Linked DNA regions of Saccharomyces cerevisiae S288C. Changing the gene in region 4 together with the main gene of any one other region gives a genetic interaction. Each region holds a gene or a part of one and is shown on either strand. Other genes may lie near its edges.

What was found.
Region 1: mutations in SEC53 (region 4) and NAB3 together harm fitness more than expected from each alone (negative genetic interaction), as found in Saccharomyces cerevisiae (2 studies listed by BioGRID).
Region 2: mutations in SEC53 (region 4) and MAK5 together harm fitness more than expected from each alone (negative genetic interaction), as found in Saccharomyces cerevisiae (2 studies listed by BioGRID).
Region 3: mutations in SEC53 (region 4) and TPT1 together harm fitness more than expected from each alone (negative genetic interaction), as found in Saccharomyces cerevisiae (2 studies listed by BioGRID).

The regions. Positions count from the first base shown.
Region 1 is NC_001148.4:184,817-191,179, forward strand, and holds NAB3 (Nab3p), read right to left. Parts: upstream 2,910-6,363; coding exon 501-2,909; downstream 1-500. Other genes in the region: COA2 (Coa2p), read right to left, coding at 3,491-3,697; GUP2 (putative O-acyltransferase), read left to right, coding at 4,338-6,167. UniProt on the Saccharomyces cerevisiae protein: May be required for packaging pre-mRNAs into ribonucleoprotein structures amenable to efficient nuclear RNA processing. Binds to poly(A)+ RNA. Appears to act in the maintenance of CLN3 mRNA levels.
Region 2 is NC_001134.8:525,808-531,679, reverse strand, and holds MAK5 (ATP-dependent RNA helicase), read right to left. Parts: upstream 3,364-5,872; coding exon 1,042-3,363; downstream 1-1,041. Other genes in the region: SUP45 (translation termination factor eRF1), read left to right, coding at 1-811; BMT2 (25S rRNA (adenine2142-N1)-methyltransferase), read left to right, coding at 3,642-4,655; GTPase-activating protein IRA1, read left to right, coding at 5,052-5,872. UniProt on the Saccharomyces cerevisiae protein: ATP-binding RNA helicase involved in the biogenesis of 60S ribosomal subunits and is required for the normal formation of 25S and 5.8S rRNAs. Required for the maintenance of dsRNA killer plasmid.
Region 3 is NC_001147.6:124,030-128,636, forward strand, and holds TPT1 (tRNA 2'-phosphotransferase), read right to left. Parts: upstream 2,661-4,607; coding exon 1,968-2,660; downstream 1-1,967. Other genes in the region: myo-inositol transporter ITR2, read left to right, coding at 1-1,801; IZH4 (Izh4p), read right to left, coding at 2,953-3,891. UniProt on the Saccharomyces cerevisiae protein: Catalyzes the last step of tRNA splicing, the transfer of the splice junction 2'-phosphate from ligated tRNA to NAD to produce ADP-ribose 1''-2'' cyclic phosphate.
Region 4 is NC_001138.5:42,055-46,327, forward strand, and holds SEC53 (phosphomannomutase SEC53), read right to left. Parts: upstream 2,339-4,273; coding exon 1,574-2,338; downstream 1-1,573. Other genes in the region: GTPase-activating protein RGD2, read left to right, coding at 1-511; FMP32 (Fmp32p), read left to right, coding at 761-1,384; ubiquitin-specific protease OTU1, read right to left, coding at 2,601-3,506; LAM5 (Lam5p), read right to left, coding at 3,666-4,273. UniProt on the Saccharomyces cerevisiae protein: Involved in the synthesis of the GDP-mannose and dolichol-phosphate-mannose required for a number of critical mannosyl transfer reactions such as folding and glycosylation of secretory proteins in the ER lumen.

The DNA.
Region 1 (6,363 bases), on a different chromosome or scaffold from region 4:
AAACTAAAATAAACGACAGGCAGATGACTAAAACAAATCAAACAAGAACCTCTAGGGAAAGGTGTCCTAAGCGCGGAACTTCTTTTCGTTATGGGGTAAATAGAGCGGTACTTAATAATCTGTTTACAAAGCAATTTTACAAAGTTTTGATATAAGAACATTTAACTAAAGAGAAGAAAAAGAAATGAAAAGCCATTCTCTTGGCAGAGGAAACAAATGAAGAGGTGCGTGTAAGTGAAATAAATAGACCAAATAGCATTTGATAAGGAAGAAATAAAAGAAATTTATAACAGGGTAAAGAGTTTTTCGTTCTGAAAGAGATGCAGCAATAGTAAGAATTAAGTCCTAGTCCAATTTGGGAAGGGAAAACGATTAAAGCATAAACCGCTATGTCGAATTTATGCAAACCATATCAATCTACTTTCCTTAAAAATTTTTCGTCCAATTAAAAGAATTCAAGTATAATGTACAAGAAATGGAAAAGATTGAAAAAAGGGAGTCTATTTTTGTAGTTTTGCTAAACTATCTAATAGACTTTGAACATTATTGCCAGCAGGTTGCTGTTGCTGTTGCTGTTGCTGTTGTTGTTGTTGTTGTTGTTGTTGAGGTGGCGGAGGTTGGTGTGACATTGGTGGGGCAGAGGGTTTTGCAGATATATTTTGACCATTGTAATTGGTACTCATAGGAGGGGGAGAGGATGAGTTCATAGAGGAATATCCACCCAACTGTTGTTGCTGTTGTTGAGGAGCCTGGCCTTGCATTGATTGTATTAAACCAACCAATTGCTGCTGAGCATGAGGTTGTTGTTGCTGTTGTTGGGCCATTGAAAGCAAATTCGATACAACGTTAGGTGGAAGGTTTTGAATGGCAGATAATAGTTGTTGCTGGTCCATTGGAGTTTGAGAAGGTGGTTGAGGAGGCGGACCAGCCTGATAACGACCATACCCTTGAGGAATTTGTTGTTGTGGAGGTGGTGGTGGAATAGAAGTCTGGTAGCGACCGTAGCTCTGATTCATTGGAATTGGAGGTTGAGAACCATATCCTTGGTCATGGGATGGTGGTGGCATCCCATAATTACCATATGGCTGTTGCTGTTGTTGTTGTGGAGGAGGCATACTGTAACCCTGGTAATAGTTTGTTTGAGGAGGAGGTCCGACAGCTGGGCCGTTTGGAACAGGAAGAGGAGGAGCGCCATATATGTTTTGCTGATGGCTCATAGCACGGTAATCAGTAGGACGAGAATTATTTCTGTTGTTTTTGATGTTATTAAAAATGGCAACTGCGTCATCAGCGGATATGCTAATATATTCATCAAATTTCGTTTCACCTTGTGAGCCTTTGTAGAAAGTTTGAACATCTACATTGTGTGTTTTATTAACTAAAACAACGCCCCACACCCCATTATATGCGGCATCATTGATAAGCTTTCCCAGTTCCATTCTTGGTTTCAAGAAAATCATATCAGTTTCCAAACCAGTCCCGTCCCTAAACCTGTTGAAAACCTCAATGGCATACGTACGATCTGCGGTTCTTTTAACGAAAATGTTGCAAGAAACGGTGTGTCTTCTGGATTTCTTGTAGCCAGCACCATTGTCGTCATTGTACATGTCACCAGATTCAGTTTGAAATGGTCGTTTTGCGGAAGAAATAAAAGTAGAACTACTGTTTGTACCGTGATCACCATGATCAAATTGAGGACGAGCATTCGAGCTAGAAACTTCCAGGATCAACTTTTTGCCAAAGTTCATTTCTTGAGACTCGCATTCAATTGCATCTCTAACGCTTTGAGGGTTGTCAAACTGAATGAATCCAAAGGCATTTTTGATATTGATTTGCATGATATGACCGTATGGAGAGAAAATCCTAAATAAATCCTCCTTAGAAACGTTCTTTAGCGGCAAATTACCAATGAATAATCTTGACTTCGGAGGAATATTGTGCATCTCGGTGATTTTATTTTCACCGTGCAAATAGGCTGCATAACGGTCGTGTTCTTCTTCGGTAATCGGCTTAGATAAATCCGCCCTAGGAAATCTCATACGTCTTTGGGCATCTGACAATGGAGGTTTTCTTTGATCATTGCTTCTTGCGCCGCTTGTGGCTGAGGCGCTAGCTGTTGTTGAGATAGTACTATCATGAGGAGGTACGGAAAGAGCTGTGTCAGAATTTGAATTTAACATTGCTAAAATCGCAGACATCTTTTCTTCTTGAGGTAAATGTTGAAACTGAGGCAAATTTAGCATGTTACTGTCCATAATGTACTTGACTTGCTTTTGTAAAAGATCGTAATTAACATTTTCCATATTAGTTGGAAAGTGAGTATTATCATTTTCTTCACGAGTTATTTTTTTTATAGCTTCATCTACGTCCTTTTGTTCTTTTTCCAATGTTTCACGGCGAAGTTCGACCTCTTTATCTTTGGTTTTATCCTTTTTGTCTTCCTCATCCTCACCGTCTTCAGCGGCACTATCTGAGCCTACCGAACTGTTGTCGTTGCCTTCTTCTTCTTCTTCTTCTTCTTCTTCTTCATCATCATCGTCGTCATCATCATCATCGTCATCATCCTCTTCTTCCTCTTCTTCCTCTTCATTATCATCATCGTCATCATCATTTCCGCCTTTTTGTTGATGTTCTTCTTCTTCTTCTTCTTCTGTGTTTATTACTTCCCCGTTTTCCTCTCCTTTTTCCTCCTTATCTTCCTCCTCTTCATCGTTCACATCTTCCAGTTCGTGTTGTTCTTCATTTTCCTCCTCCCTTTCGGCTTCTCTTTCTTCCTCTGGGGCGTCAAATTCGATTCCATCGTCTGCGCTTGAGTTATTCATCAATTCATTCTCGTTAGAGTTACTATCGACGGATAGTTCAGGTGAAGGAATATCTTGAACATCACTGTTATGGTTTTCATCTGACATGGCTTGCAGATGGTTATTATATTATGAAAGGACAGTCCGGGAAAAACGTAAGTCAATTATTATATTTTGACCAAAGAAAATCGCTTGTTGCTGTGCAGAATCTAATAAAGATGCTCAAGATAGCTTTTATTAGACCTTCATTTAGAAGTGGCAAAATCAAATGAATTGTTTTTTGTCCTTTGCTTCTTCCGCTTCATTTTCTCTTCAACAATTCAGGGTTACACTCAATCACGTGGGATACCATAATTTATCGTTCTACAAAAAAATGCAAGCACGAACTAGGGCGGTAGTTAGGAAGCGAATAAGAATAGCGCTTTTTCGTTTCAATTTGGAATATTAAAGAGTGATATTATTAATGGTTTTCTTTTTTGGAATGTGATCTATATACATATTTAAATAGTCTCTTTTGTATTTGTGGTGTCATAATGAAACTGCATCACACCAGATGCTTACCCATACAGAAAGTCGATTGATTATGAAACTTGAAGTAGCGAAGATTACGGCACTCGAAAATAAATAAAAAGAGGAAATAAAAGAGATAGAATACAACTTATCAAAAGTTCCAGATAGCCCGTACCTGTTTAAATCTTTTTACTTAAAGCATCCTTCCTCTTTAACTCCTGCTCATGAGCAAGCTGAAGCTTGTGTTGCTGTACAGCTGGTGAATCAGAATCCACTGAATGTGCTGGACATGGCAGCACAGAACCGATGGCCACTGATGCGAATGCAATGAGAAATGTAGAAAAGTATAGGTTATTGACTATTTTGTTTCTAGTGACTGCTCTCATGATATGTGTCTGAATTAAACTAATTGGCCTTCCGTGCCTGTAAATTCAATAAATAAATAGGATGTTAAATTTTCCTAATGTGTCTCGAGGTGCTTATGTTATCGTGCAAGCGCTGAGTTCGAAACGCTGTTTTGATGAATATCCTATATATATCAAAAGTACAAACACGGGGAAAGAGAGCCATCCCATCAAAAAAAATAAAAAAAGAAAACCCTTGCAGAAGGAGAACTGGTGTAGAGGTTTCCGGTCTTAATGGACTTAAGCACGTGACTTTTAAAACCCATGCATCGGTTACTATGGTTACCATTACTTACGATTTTTTTTTTTTCGTTATGAACCCTGTGCCCGAGGGGTTTTCAGGCACATAGATCAAAGTTCTACTCGTTTACCTGTAATCTTGGCGCGTTTAGGTCTCTTTTTTTTTCTTTTTTTTTTCTTCTTTTTTCATTTGTACTGCGTTATAGTTGTTTATGGAAGGTACCAATGGTGAATATGGAAAAAATGAAGTCAAATAGAAGAAGAAAGAGAAGCTAGCTTTGAGGTAGGTACTGTTTTGAGGGTTTTTGGGTGCTTCAAATTTGTCTTCTCAACTACCTTATTATAGGGCTCAAAAATAATTGACGTCATCGCTACAAGTCAGATGTCGATGTTAAGAATCTGGAGTTGCATCGTACATTTCTTTTCCGTGCAGGCACTTGATTCACGAATAAAGCCAGACATTGAATTCAAAAGGCGACAAAGGATATTTATCAATTCATCTAAAGAAGAGAATGGTTCATCTTCTAGTGCCGTTACTGTTACCCGTAACCCTGTGCTCAGCTCTAATAGCCCATCTCCTCCGCTATGGAATACATGGGAATTTAGACTATATTATTTGGCGTTCACCGTAGTAGTTCCTTTCATGATAAAGGCGGCATTGGCTACGAGCTCCGAGTCTAATCCAAACTACTATAAATTCAGCGGACTGCTAGCCCATGGTTGGATTCTGGGCCGCAAAGTGGATAACAGCGATCCTCAGTATAGGTTTTTTAGATCCAATTTTTTTTTGTTGGCCATCTTAATATTACTACAAATTATATTAAAAAAGGTTTTTGTTAAATTTAGTAAAATTCCGAAAACAAAATTCGATTTTGCGTGTGGATTAGTTTTTGTCTGTTTCATGTACGGGATCAATTCTGTTAAGCTCTTTACGCATGCTTTTATTTTCTTCACTTTGGCACATTCGCTAAAGAGAAAGCGTTTGATAGCCGCTTTTGCGATTTGGTCCTATGGTATCTTTACACTATTCATCAATCAAAAAATGAAAAATCTCCCCTTTAATAATATTGCTATCATCCTAAGTCCCATGGATCAATGGTATAAGGGTATCGTTCCTCGATGGGATTTTTTTTTCAATTTTACATTATTGCGTTTGTTAAGTTACTCCATGGATTTTTTGGAAAGATGGCATGAACAATTGAGCCGCCAACCTTCGATAGATTACGATGATAGACGACCTGAATTCAGAAAAAGTTTATCTGGTTCTACTCTACAAACCATTTATGAGTCAGGTAAGAATGTTCTGGAGGAAAAGGAACGACTGGTAGCAGAACATCACATCCAGGATTACAACTTTATCAATTTTATCGCTTATATTACTTACGCGCCATTGTTTTTAGTGGGCCCAATTATCACTTTTAATGACTACCTTTATCAATCAGAAAATAAGCTTCCTTCGCTAACGAAAAAAAACATAGGCTTCTATGCCCTCAAAGTATTTTCGAGTTTGCTTTTGATGGAAATTATCCTACATTATATCTATGTGGGTGCAATAGCAAGGACCAAGGCATGGAACAATGATACACCCTTGCAACAGGCTATGATCGCGCTGTTCAACTTGAACATTATGTATTTAAAACTTTTGATCCCATGGAGGCTCTTTCGGCTGTGGGCCATGGTCGATGGTATTGATGCACCTGAAAATATGCTACGATGTGTGGATAATAATTATAGTACAGTGGGATTCTGGAGAGCCTGGCATACAAGTTTTAACAAGTGGGTAATCCGTTACATCTATGTTCCATTTGGCGGGTCCAATAACAAAATATTAACGAGCTTTGCCGTATTCTCATTTGTAGCAATATGGCATGACATCCAATTACGAGTGTTGTTTTGGGGGTGGTTAACAGTCCTTTTATTATTAGGCGAAACCTACATTACTAACTGTTTTAGTAGATATAGATTCAGAAGCTGGTACAGGTTTGTTTGCGGTATCGGTGCTGCAATAAATATTTGCATGATGATGATTATTAATGTCTATGGATTTTGCTTGGGTGCAGAGGGAACGAAGCTTCTATTGAAGGGCATATTTAACAATTCACATAGTCCGGAGTTTTTGACTGCGGTAATGGTAAGCCTATTTATTGCTGTTCAGGTAATGTTTGAGATTAGAGAAGAAGAAAAAAGACATGGCATCAACTTGAAATGTTGATCTAGTTATTAGATAAGCTATGAAAGTCAATCCTTTTAATCGAGAATGTAAATATGTGGAATACACAATTTTAACCAAAGTACTATATATGCGTTACAAGTAATTTAAATTTAAGTTCACCGAAGTAAAACTAACTGCAAGATTGTTACAAAGAACAATGCACTATTTAAATCACACAATGGCTATTGAAAACTGT
Region 2 (5,872 bases), on a different chromosome or scaffold from region 4:
ATTTACTGTCGATCTGCCAAAAAAGCATGGTAGAGGTGGTCAATCTGCGCTTCGTTTTGCTCGTTTAAGAGAAGAAAAAAGACATAATTATGTGAGAAAGGTCGCCGAAGTTGCTGTTCAAAATTTTATTACTAATGACAAAGTCAATGTTAAGGGTTTAATTTTAGCTGGTTCTGCTGACTTTAAGACCGATTTGGCTAAATCTGAATTATTCGATCCAAGACTAGCATGTAAGGTTATTTCCATCGTGGATGTTTCTTATGGTGGTGAAAACGGTTTCAACCAGGCTATCGAACTTTCTGCCGAAGCGTTGGCCAATGTCAAGTATGTTCAAGAAAAGAAATTATTGGAGGCATATTTTGACGAAATTTCCCAGGACACTGGTAAATTCTGTTATGGTATAGATGATACTTTAAAGGCATTGGATTTAGGTGCAGTCGAAAAATTAATTGTTTTCGAAAATTTGGAAACTATCAGATATACATTTAAAGATGCCGAGGATAATGAGGTTATAAAATTCGCTGAACCAGAAGCCAAGGACAAGTCGTTTGCTATTGACAAAGCTACCGGCCAAGAAATGGACGTTGTCTCCGAAGAACCTTTAATTGAATGGCTAGCAGCTAACTACAAAAACTTCGGTGCTACCTTGGAATTCATCACAGACAAATCTTCAGAAGGTGCCCAATTTGTCACAGGTTTTGGTGGTATTGGTGCCATGCTGCGTTACAAAGTTAATTTTGAACAACTAGTTGATGAATCTGAGGATGAATATTATGACGAAGATGAAGGATCCGACTATGATTTCATTTAAATAAATAAAAGGGGGAGAAAAAAATCGAATCAAAAAGAATTTAATCACTAGATGCCAGATTTAAATTAAATTCGCTTTTAATTTTTTGTACAATATAATATATACTTGGTAAACCTTTTGCTCTATATTGAGCTAATTCCTTTGTTGAAAGTACATAGTGGGTTTAGAGGACCGTGTATATTACGTAGAAAATACAGTGAAAGGAGAGTTTCTCTTCAAAAGCCTCGAGATTAATTATTTCTCTTTTTCTTTTTCTTCAAAGTTTCTAAGGCGTTTGTCTTTTCATGACCAATGATAGAATTATGACCTCTTTTTTTGACCAAGTTATCAGCTAAATTCACTAGCCCACCTGTCAAATATTTCTGTCTTCTATCTTTACGTATAGGCACTGATAACAATTCGTTCAACGTAGCTCTCATGGCTTTTACCTTGTCCTTATTTATAGTCTTCTGCATTTTTTTATTTTTATTTTTTAGTAAGAAAGTGTCCGAATTACTCTTTGATATATCGTCTTCGTCGGAATCAACGTCAATACCTAATTCATCAGCAGCCTTTTTTAACCAATTGTCATCTTTTCTTAGGGAATTAGAAGCAATTTCATGATCAGCCAGTTCGCCTGCTAATCTACTTCTTTCTCTGAGTTGTGAAAGTATATCGGTTTCAATTGGTAACAAAGGCACAGTGTTTTGCCACTTGATGGGTTTTCTGTTAGTTGATCTAGAGTTCAAATCCGTCGAAACACTATTTTTTGTAGCGAGAGTTTTTCTTAACTTTCTTAATGGGCCCATAGATTCTTGAGGTGAGCATATCATGGCAGAGACACCTTCAGAACCTGCTCTTGCAGTTCTGCCTGATCTATGAATATAAATATCAGTAGATCTTGGTAAGTGGTAATGAATAACGTGTTGAACACCCGGAATATCTAAACCTCTAGCAGCAACATCACTTGCAATCAATACTGTTGAGAGTTGAACGGAATCCGGATTCGAATGATTTATTGTTTTCTGTTTAGCGCTTTGTTGCTTGAACCTTTCTAAGCTTTTCAAACGGTTCTTTTGTGTCATGGAAGAATGAATTTGAAAAGCTGGGATGCCTAGGTTATTTAAGTATACGGTCAATTTCTTCACGGAGTCAATGGCATTACAAAAGATCAAAGTTGTACCTGGGAACATGGTTAAAAAGTAATAGCAGTATAGGTCACGTTCTAATGGAGGACATTCAATTAAGGATTCTTTGATTTGAGAGCTCACTTTTGACTCAGGATTTGTATCTATTATAACCGGCTTTGAGTTGAAGTGAATTTTGCTCATTAAGTGTTGTATTACGGCATTTAGCTCATCTTCGTTGTTTTTAAACCTTCTATCCTTAACTTGACGGGAAGAAGATAGCTTATCAAACAAGTCGATGGAGAATGTTGCAGAAAAGATCAAAGTTTGCCAAATTTTGCTACTGCCCTCGGAGTTTTCTCTGTTTTTCCTTCTTTCTACTAATAAATGTTTAATGATTTTTTCGAACTCGTCGAAATGACCGTCTTGTAACAGCCTATCAGCCTCATCAAGGATTAGCGTATTTACTTTCGAGAATCTTTTGATTAAAGTGTTGTCTTTTTCCAACAGTTCCAAAAATCTACCTGGTGTTGCGATGACAATTTGGCCACTATTATCGTACTTTAATAGACGTTGTTGTTTTTGGATAGAGAGTCCACCTGTCAAAGATAATATCGAGTACTGAGATTTCGCTAGAACAGGCTCACAGATCTTTTTTAAGTGGTCTGTGACTTGATGCGCCAGTTCTCTTGTAGGAGTAAAGATTAACGATATTGGTTTCTTGTTTTTCTGAGAGAAGTTACTGATCAGTTTCTCTACAATTGGAATACCATAGGCTAAAGTTTTACCTGAACCTGTAGAGGCTTTCCCCATGACGTCTACGCCTTGCATAATAACTGGAATAGACTTTTTTTGAATTTCTGTAGGTCTGAGAAAATTTAAATTCTGCAAGCTCTGCAAAATAGTCATTGAGAGAGGTGCAAGATTCGTCCATTCAGGTAAATTTACAGGAGAAATATCATCGATATTAATGTCTTTGTTAAAGACGTTTTCTTTCAAAACATCCTCATCCACATCCTCATCCACATCCTCACTGGGATCGGTTAACTTTGAACTCTCAATATTACCTTGCTCATCCTCGTCGGATGATGAATAAGATGCTGCACTCAACTCTCCTTCTTTAATATCGTCCAAGTTCTTGAATTCAAGGAGCTCGGACTCCGAATCTGACCCTGATTCATTTTCCACAGATTCCTGATCATCTCCGACTTTTTCCTTATTGCTATCTTTTAACACTTTTGAATCTTTTTTGGTGACGAAAGTTACTTTACCATCCACGACTTTAACGTCCACTCCGTCAATTTCTTCCAAGCCATAAAATCCACCAAAGTCATCTAAAGTGTCCGGAATATCTACTGGTTTCCAGTTCAATTTGGATTCATCTACAATTATCTCCTGTGGCTTTGTGACCGTTTTTCCTTTTTGAGGAGCCCTTTTCTTACCCATGATGGAAAAACTGATTATGCCGGTATTTGACTAAAGAATTTCTACCTGAGGTTATGATGATAATGATGGGCAGGTTGGCGAATATAACTTTTTTAGATGGAAATTCTTATAAGCTCATCGCTGGAAAAGTTTTTCAGAGAAAAAGAAAAGTACGGACTAACTAACCTTGAGGCGGGTTTGTGAGGTGAAAAAAAATATAACAATTATAATATCGATGAGCTAGCCATGACCTTGATGGCAATCTTGTATCAGCTTAGCGATACCACTAATACAGCGGAATGCATTCAAGAAAGTCGAAGAGTATTACGGGCAAGAGGAAGCAAGTAGGAAGTAACGTGACGAGAGTAATCAAGCCACAGAAGACAAGAAGGATAATAAGAAGATTCCACCATTTAATTAATAAGCGTCAATCGATATGCAAGTTTTTATGCCTTAAGGAAAACCTAGATGATTCCAACGAGGAGAAGAATGACAAAATTATCAGGTTAAGTATTAAAGGTAATGTAAGACTGGGCAAGTACTATGAAGACGGCAAATCGCAGTCCTTCAATGATGCTATGGAATCACAACTACTGAGGCTGCACTCATTAATTAAAAATGAATCCAAATCAAAGGATACTTCTGACTTGGCTGTGATGTACACATTACTTGGTTACATAATGAATCAGATTAATAAATTGGGAGGACTAGAAACTTACCAAATTGCCAGTCAAAACGGGCAATTGAAGGAACGAGGAGGAGACACGTCCAAGTTGCTCGAGAAATGGATCAGGTCCTCATTTGAAAATTGTCCTGGAGCAGTGGCATTAGAAATTGGTTCATTGAGCTCCGGAAATCGCATATCCCGTTGTGCACTTTTTAGAAATGTGGTTCGTATAGATTTAGAGGAACATGAAGGCGTTATTAAGCAGGATTTTATGGAAAGACCGCTACCGAGAAATGAAAACGACAAATTCGACCTGATATCATGCTCTCTAGTGCTAAATTTTGTCAAAAATCACAGGGATCGCGGTGCAATGTGCCATCGCATGGTCAAATTTCTCAAGCCGCAAGGCTACATCTTTATTGTTCTGCCACAAGCCTGTGTGACGCACTCAAGATACTGCGACAAAACACTGTTACAAAACCTCCTCGGCTCTATCGGGCTCATAATGCTTAATAGCCATCAAAGTAATAAGTTGTACTATTGTTTGTATCAATTGCAGGTAGTTCCACCGCAGCCGAGTAGCTTTTCCAAAAGAATCAAGGTTAACGACGGCCCTGGGTTGAACAATTTTGGTATTACCCTCTAAGCGAGCCGACACCGCCTGGAAGTTTTTCATAAAGGGATACAATATAGAAAGATGTGTAAAAACGTTAAGTAAAAGATGAGCAAATGAACAGTGTTCGAAGGAGAATAACAAGAGTTACTGCTCATATAAAACTAATATACTAAAGGTTTTCGCTTTGTATTACGATTGAAACAATTAACTGTTTTTTTTTTTTCCGCTTATTACACAGTACCGGTTTCATTTACGCCTTTGATCATTTTATTGGCATTGGGCTCATAGTAGTTTTCAGCGCGTGGTTAAGCTATTTAACGAAAGCGTATAAAGTCAAGTGATCATCTTTTGCCCTGCAAATAGAGCTTCAAACTTAACATTCTTCTTCAGCATATAACATACAACAAGATTAAGGCTCTTTCTAAAATGAATCAAAGCGATCCGCAAGACAAAAAAAATTTCCCAATGGAATACTCTTTGACCAAGCATCTTTTTTTTGATAGGCTTCTACTTGTTCTTCCCATAGAATCTAATTTGAAAACATATGCTGATGTGGAGGCAGATTCAGTTTTCAATTCGTGTCGGTCCATCATTTTGAATATAGCCATCACTAAGGACTTGAACCCGATTATCGAAAACACATTAGGTTTAATTGACTTGATTGTGCAAGATGAAGAAATTACGTCTGACAATATTACAGATGATATTGCCCATTCTATATTGGTTCTTTTGAGATTACTGAGTGATGTTTTTGAGTATTACTGGGATCAAAACAATGACTTCAAGAAAATTAGAAACGATAATTACAAACCGGGATTTTCAAGTCACAGGCCAAACTTCCATACATCTAGGCCAAAGCACACGAGAATCAATCCAGCTTTGGCGACGATGTTACTATGTAAAATTTCTAAGCTGAAGTTCAATACAAGAACTTTAAAGGTTTTACAGAACATGTCTCACCATCTTTCTGGCAGCGCTACTATCTCAAAATCGAGTATTTTACCCGATTCACAGGAATTTTTACAAAAGAGAAACTATCCAGCATATACCGAGAAAATAGATTTAACAATAGATTATATCCAGAGATTCATATCTGCTTCCAATCATGTTGAATTCACAAAGTGTGTCAAAACAAAAGTTGTTGCACCTTTATTGATATCACACACCTCAACCGAATTGGGCGTAGTAAACCACTTGGATTTATTTGGTTGTGAGTATTTGACTGATAAGAATCTGCTAGCATATCT
Region 3 (4,607 bases), on a different chromosome or scaffold from region 4:
ATGGACGAAGAGTCGTCTCTCCCATTTCTTTCCCTCGTACACTAATAGCAGTGGTATGGGGGCCGCCTCAACTGATCAATCTTCTACGCAGGGAGAAGAACTGCACCATAGGAAGCACTGTGAAGAAGACAATGATGGTCAAAAACCGAAAAAGTCTCCCGTATCCACCTCTACAATGCAAATAAAATCTAGACAGGATGAGGACGAGGATGACGGTCGAATTGTCATTAAACCAGTTAACGATGAAGATGATACATCAGTGATTATAACTTTCAATCAGTCAATATCCCCTTTTATTATTACATTGACATTCGTTGCGTCCATTTCTGGGTTCATGTTTGGTTATGATACTGGTTACATATCGAGTGCGCTAATTTCTATCAATAGAGATTTAGACAACAAAGTTTTAACTTATGGAGAAAAAGAATTAATTACGGCCGCCACATCATTGGGCGCTTTGATTACAAGTGTGGGCGCTGGTACTGCTGCTGATGTGTTTGGAAGAAGACCATGTTTAATGTTCTCCAATCTGATGTTTTTGATCGGAGCAATTTTACAAATTACCGCGCACAAGTTTTGGCAAATGGCGGCCGGTAGACTGATTATGGGTTTCGGTGTCGGTATTGGTTCTTTGATTTCTCCTCTTTTTATTAGTGAAATTGCTCCTAAGATGATCAGGGGTAGGTTAACCGTTATAAATTCCCTATGGCTGACAGGTGGTCAATTGATTGCTTACGGTTGTGGTGCGGGCCTGAACCACGTCAAAAACGGTTGGAGAATCTTAGTTGGTTTGTCCTTGATACCTACTGTTTTGCAGTTTTCTTTTTTCTGTTTTTTGCCGGATACACCAAGATACTACGTAATGAAAGGCGATTTAAAGAGAGCAAAAATGGTTCTCAAACGAAGTTACGTAAACACTGAAGATGAAATAATTGATCAAAAAGTTGAAGAATTATCTAGCTTAAATCAATCGATACCAGGAAAAAATCCAATAACAAAATTCTGGAATATGGTCAAGGAATTGCACACTGTGCCTTCAAATTTCAGAGCTTTGATTATTGGTTGTGGTCTACAAGCCATTCAACAATTCACAGGTTGGAATTCCTTAATGTATTTCTCCGGTACAATATTTGAAACTGTTGGATTCAAAAATTCTTCTGCCGTTTCTATTATTGTCTCAGGTACTAATTTTGTGTTCACATTAATAGCATTTTTCTGTATTGATAAAATCGGCCGTAGGTACATTTTACTGATTGGACTACCTGGTATGACTGTGGCGCTGGTTATATGTGCTATAGCGTTCCATTTCCTAGGTATTAAGTTTAACGGTGCTGATGCAGTAGTGGCATCTGATGGATTTTCATCTTGGGGCATTGTCATTATCGTATTTATTATTGTGTATGCAGCCTTTTATGCCCTCGGTATCGGCACTGTTCCATGGCAACAATCGGAATTATTTCCACAAAACGTCAGAGGTGTAGGGACATCCTACGCTACTGCCACCAATTGGGCAGGTTCTTTAGTCATTGCGTCTACGTTCTTGACTATGTTACAAAATATTACACCAACGGGTACATTTTCATTCTTTGCCGGTGTAGCATGTTTATCAACCATTTTTTGTTACTTTTGTTATCCAGAACTATCAGGATTGGAGTTAGAGGAAGTTCAAACAATTTTAAAGGACGGATTCAATATCAAAGCCTCTAAAGCTCTAGCTAAAAAGAGGAAACAACAGGTGGCCGAAGGTGCTGCCCATCATAAACTCAAATTCGAACCTACACAGGAAATTGTAGAAAGTTAGACTGCTACACCAACAAAAAATAAAAGATAAAGAACAAAAAAGAAGGAAGAAAGCTATAAAAGGGAGACAATTCATTTCATCTAATCTTAAAAGTTTTTATTTAAATATATAAGTAAGAGCGAAGTATTTAAAAATAAAAATTCATAAAAGTTGAGCTTGATGAAAGTTATATCTTTTCGAGCGGTATGTTTCTTTCGTGTAAAATTCTTCTTAAAGTATCTAACTTCTCCTCATCTTTCAAGTTTCCTTTAACTACAACTTTTTGGATCAATTCAACGGGAATACTGCTGCTTAAGTAAACATTATTGAGCGACCTGAACATTTTCAAAGTTTGAAAGAATAATGGAGAATGGCAGTCGATGAAAATATAGACGTTACTTGAAGAACGCATTCCACTAATAACTCCCTTCGCGTGCAACATCCCCGGCGATAAATGGACATGATTTCTACTCATTGGTGATATTGCTCCGGATTCAATAATCTTTATGACAGATTGAAGATTTGTTCCATGAATTAGTTCCTGTGGTAACTGCGACGCTTCAGTAATTGGTACGAGAACCTCATCTGATGGCTGAATCGATTTGATTGAATGTCCCTGAGTAGCACAGATCCATTCTTCGTCCGCTCCTAACGTTTTTATATGAAAGCGTTGTTTGTCATTTTCCTTAACAATGCGATGGATATCATCCACCGTACATTTATGAGTTTTCAATCTATTATGAGACAATAGTTCTTTCAGCGGTGTATAACCGTTTGAGTCAATAGTCAACTTTTCTTTCACCGCTGTATGTCGAAGCAGATATGATAAAGCTTTGGAAAGCTGTACATCCCTTTTATCTTTTTGTAGTACCTGGCGCATTGTCAAGTCCACCTTTCCCAGTCATTCTGCTCAATTCTGTAATAATGTATTATGCATTTTGCCATTATTTTGATGAGCTTTCCTCGCGTCACGGTGTCAGTAAAAAAGAACAAATACATCACGAAGACAGAAATACGGACAAGAACCGCAGAAGACATTAAAGTCAAAACATGAAGCTTAATTCAACTCGTGTAAGTATCTTTAAAGGAGATACACTTCCCATTCTTGAATTATTTTTTTATTTAATTTGCCTTATTTATTCAATTATTTATTATGTGAGCACCAGCTGAGTCTAAGACTTGAAATTAATTAATTCGGGCTGATTCAAACTTGAATGCATCAAAATATAAGATTGAATCAAAATGAAAAAATGGTAAAAAGCCGTACCAGAAATCAAGAGATGGAAAAGGTACTCGGAATGATTCCAACCTTCTTCCTTTTTATTTCGTCTGAACAATGATTCAGGGAACCTGGTAACGTAAATTATAGATGCCGCTACCAAAGCCACAAGTTCCCACGTAATTGCGTTCACTTTTATCCTCTCTTTCAGGTTTTCTAAACCATCAAAGGTGATTATTGCGGTTAATAGTGGCAAGGAACAACACACTACTGATACCGAAATGAAGAAAACTGTTTTATTGAATCTTTTCGAGGAAATGAGTTTGTCCGTCAATATAAAAAAGTATGCCACTAATCCTATGAAGTTCATTAAAAGGGTAAAAATTTTGAAGAAAAACACGTAATCATAGAATAGATAATAAAGAATTGTGATTTGTGATGATATCAATAAGTTGATATTCGATAAATACGAAAACTTCTGCCAATGTTCGAGATGTTGTTGTAGAGAAATATTTTTGACGAAGTGATAAATGAAATGCACCATACAAAATACAAAAACGTTCAATAAATAAAAATTGAATACAATGTAGTCTGTCATTGTAGTGGTGGTGGGGAACAAAGGTATCAAATAAAAGTCCGTGAAAAATATTAGGAGACAAAATGACAGCATCGAACCCAAGAGATATATTAGTGCTACTAGTGACTCGTTCCTACTGGATTTATTTTTGTACTGTTTCTGCAATTTTGCCAAGTCATGGAATGGAAAACCCTTCTTTGTTTCTTTTGTCTCTGCATTCTCGTTCGAATCTGTCCCCCTAGTATCATTGCTCTCTTTCTCAGTGGTTGTCTCGCATTTGACTGGGCTTTGCTCTATTGTAGTCAATGAAACCATACTGTCAATATATATGTACCTTTATACCAATATTATATGCGCTGACAAGAACTTTAAGAAATTAATTTCCTTTTCTACTTTTTTTCATTTTTATTTTACTTCTGCGTCCATATATCCGGACCATATATATGAGTGTAAATCATTTAGCTGTTGACACCATTGAGTATTTACAATTAAAACCAATTGAGCTCAACAGGCTTGCGTTGAATAATGTTGAGCTGCCCAACGAGCCCTTTTCTCGCGGAGTGCTGTCCGAATTGTCCGAGTTTTTATACGGACAGAACTATCGCTTCTTTGAAGTATATATAAGAATAGACCGGCTGTTCACCCCGTATCCTCCTTTTCTATCTCTTGGCTTGCTATGTTTCAATGTCAGCCTTTGCTTTTATGTGCCCTTGCATACACGTGAATATGTCTATTTTATGTAAACTATAACAGCTGGTACTGCCCGTACATATGCTTAAATTAAATAGCTATTGACGAAGGCCCATTTTCTCGTAGAATATCAGGGTAACATATGGAATAATCATTTTTCTCTGTCTATAAGTAGTAAGACTATTGCTTCTGATCCTTCTGTCAATCGCCTGTCTCCAGTTTTATTTCTTGTCACCTAGAGAAACATACGCTGGAGTTCCCTGTACTATCAAAAGTTGTTTCGGTCCCGCCATTTCCGACTAGCTCTATAGCTAATGGTTGAGACTCAAATAGTTCTGTAG
Region 4 (4,273 bases):
TATACTTTCTACGTCCAAGTTGGAGCCAAGCACCATCGCCAGTGTTGTTAAAATTTATTTATTAGAATTACCAGACCCACTAATTCCCAATGATGTCTCTGATATTCTTCGGGTGCTTTACCTTGACTATCCACCTTTAGTTGAAACTGCGTTGCAAAATTCTACATCATCTCCCGAGAATCAGCAGGACGATGACAACGAAGAAGGCTTTGATACCAAGAGAATAAGAGGCCTTTATACTACTCTGTCCTCTCTAAGCAAACCACACATAGCGACACTAGACGCTATTACAACTCATTTTTACAGATTAATTAAAATTCTGAAAATGGGAGAGAACGGTAATGAAGTAGCAGATGAGTTTACCGTCTCAATTTCACAAGAATTTGCCAATTGTATTATCCAGTCAAAGATCACCGATGATAATGAAATTGGTTTTAAGATTTTCTATGATCTACTGACACATAAGAAACAGATTTTTCACGAATTGAAAAGGCAAAATTCAAAAAATTAGGACTAGGCGATATAGATTTGTATATAATTTTATATAAAAGGAAATATGTACATCATTTTCTTTCACTGTAGGCAGCTGTTTCAAGTTCTTTTTTTATTGGAGATATAATTATTTACATTATTGTTATAGAGGACACACGAAAAAGCAAGAAGGGAACTATAAGAAAAATAAAAAATAATGAAGAATACAGATCTGTAATTAGTCATTTCAAGTGAGCGTAATAAGTAAAGTAAGGTAGAACGGAATAAAATGCTCAAGCGTATTGTTGGATTGCCTGCAAGGCGTTGCTTTCATAGAACGTCCTTTTTGCTGGGCAGTGACTTTGAAACTGTGCATATTCCCAATACGAACCACTTTAAAGATTTACTTATAGAGAACGGTAAATTTCAAGAGGATCAAGCAACTACAATAGTAGAGATAATGACAGATGCAATTAGGGGCGGGGTTAATCATGTTTCACAGGATCTGGCAAAGAGAGAAAAATTGACCCAACTTAGCTATCAACAACGTGTTGATTTTGCAAAGTTAAGAGATCAGCTATTGAGTGCTGATAGAAGTGAATTTCACAATATTCAAAACGAGTACGAAAGTGTGAAAAACGATCTGGAGAAACTAAGAAACAAACTAAGGGAAGAAATTACCAAAACAAACGCCGGTTTCAAACTTGATCTGTCCTTAGAAAAAGGCAGAATTAGGGAAGAAAGTAGTCATCACGATCTGCAAATAAAAGAAATCGACACCAAAATTGAGCAAGAAGTGACCAATATGAAGATGCAGATTGATTCTGTCAAGACTCAAGTCATGCAATGGCTGATAGGTGTCTGTACAGGTACATTTGCACTTGTATTAGCATATATGAGGTTATTAACATAGTGGCGACAAGCGAGGAAAAAGGGCTAGACTTGGTACTTGAAAATTGCATTTACGTTTTGTATAACACAGTTCAGTAAGAGTACACATTCAATAACGTAGTAAGAGTATATTTATTTATATAAGAAGGATAAAAAAGAATCACCAAACGGATCACAAATGGCATAATCACGTAGCAACCTGGAAATAAAGCTATAAGTTGAATAGTTCAGTCAAAATTTTGACGGTGTCATCAGGGGATTGTACTGAATGTCCGATGGTTCTTTCATCGACAAAAATTTCGTAATCGTTACCACCGACCATAGTCTTGTCACCAAAGAAATGAATTTCCTTGAAACCATCTTTTTCAACGTGTTGCAAACAGTAGGTCTTATCCCAACCAGCGGGGAAAACGTCGAAAGAGATTTGGCCACCAATGGAGAAAGTCAAACCGTAGTCTGGGAATTCCTTTTTCAAAGCTTCAACGAACTTGGCTCTGATTTGGTGTTCCTTATCGTATCTTTCGAATTCGTTTCTTTCCTCAGTAGAAGCATTTCTACCAATTGGGGAAACGTTGATCATACCATTTCTAAATTCCAAGAAAGTACCTCTTCTCTTTGGCAAGTCAATTTCAGATAGATATCTCAAAATGAAGACGGCCAATTTATTGTATTTTTCCTCACCGAGCCAGTTGATGAAGGATTGAGAAGCTAATTCCTTACCTAATCTGTAGGCGGTCAAACCATTTTCAGAGAAAGAATAGTCAAATTCATCTAAAACGTTTGGGCCTAACTGTTCTAATTGCTTGCTTAAGTCAGAACCACCGACAAAACCAATGCAGCACTTGTTTCTCAACTTGGCCAAAGTTTTTCTAACTTCTTCAGAAACAGTTAATCTGGCTGGTGTCAAGGTACCATCAACATCGAATAAAACCAAAGTTTCTGGTTTTTCCTTGTAAGCGAATTCAGCGATACTCATTATTGGTGGTTATATTAGCAGATAGGTAAAAAAGGAGAAAGAAGTACTAAGGAAATTGTCGATTTAGTTTTCGTCAAAGATCTTATACTTTGCCAAGAAGAATAGACGATATAAACAGAAAAATAAGTGAAAAGAACACGTAAAAAACGGCACATTTTAATATATTTCAAATTTTTTTTTCATCAACGACAAAAGGAATGCATTTTATCCACTTTTCGTGTCTCATGACGAGTATACCGATAAACGCCAAATGCGTATTTTATTATCTATTTTGGCCAAAATCAACGTGTCCCGTGGATTCAGCGTGCCTAGCAACTTCTCTTTCACCCACAAAGGTCATTTGGCAAGTGTTGCATTTGATCTGGGCCTTATGAGTGTTGAAGGAATAGCCAGTTTGCTTCAAATTTGAGGCCAGTTGCAAAGCTGCTGTTAGAACATCATCTGATTCCGGCTGGTTCTTGTTGAAAACAGTTTTAAACTCGTTCATGGTCAAGGAATCATAGTGGATTCCGTTGAACAGTATCAAAATGTAGTTGTCGAACTTGTCCTCGTTGAACTTTTCGATTTTAACAGCGTCAATGTCGACTACATAAATAGCTACTGCGAGTGCATCGGATATGATACCAATCTCGATGGCTCCACCCCAAGATTCCATTTTCAAAATCCATTGCGCGTAATCTTTGTTAGGTTTGTCCAATATGGCGTCATTGAACTTGACGGGGTTGTTGAGGACCTCCTTAGAGACCATCTCCCTGAGGTCACGAACGCTATCTTGTTTGAAGATGCCATAGGCAATAGCATGGAACAGACACGAGTTGTCGTCGAGAACAGGATGTACTGATAGGACGTTTTCTCCACTGCCACCAATTGACATCTCAGTGCTCTTCAGCACCCTCTTTGGTTTGGGTTGTGGTGGTGGCAAACTGAAGCTTTCGTTACTATCAGAGGACTCTATTGTAATCTTTTCACCAGAGTTAATACCCAGCTCGTCCAGCTGGGTTTGTCCCAAAGAAGCGTCTTCCCCTTGCAAATTGATCCTTTGAGGCGGATATCCAAACCTCATCGTCTTAACATCTACATTGATATGCTCAATAAGATCATTTAGTGTTGCATCTTGCTTCAAAGTAACGACTTGGTTGATTCCTGCTCCAGTAACTTTCAGTTTCATCTTGAAAGTTTCTTCTCTTGGTTATCTTCTTCAATGTTATCTTGTTTTCAAAGGAAAAAGTTGTTATTTGCCACTGAAATCGGCTTATTTCGCCCTTTACTATTAGTTACTACCATTGCCCTATAGAAACGATATATATTGGTACGAAGAAAATACAGATCACAACTTCAGTTCTACCAATTGCAGCTTCACCAGTTGATGTAATGAGACAGCAATTGAACGTATGTAGAACAGATTAAACAATAGCAAAACGACCACAATCAAGTATAAGAACAACCATGTTTCCATGGTGACCTTGAGACCTTGCTGCTCTGCAATTGCGGGAGCCGTAACAACCGCTTCTCTTGGTTGTTCAAGGTCAACCTCTTTCAACTTATTTTTTACTTCTTTATCATCTTGCTCCTCTTCCTCCTTGCTGATAGTAATTTGGCACTCTTCGACATTGTTCTTGATGAACTTGGAAAGAATACGCTCCATTAATTGCGCAGCCTCCAATTGACCATTCTTGCATCCATTTTCAACCATACCTTTGATCCAACTGGAACCAGTCCATTCCACCCAAAAGGATACCCGTAACAGACACGTTATTTCGTCATTCCAACGGATTAGATACCTTGTCTTAGTTGAGAAACTACCACCACTGGGCACGTTCGGAGTGCGTATGCTACTGATAACCTCATAGTAAGTATCAGGATCTTTTCTCTTTATTACCTCAGCAACATAACATGTCGTGGACTTGGGCCCCGCAGGAAAGTGCAATGCTTTCT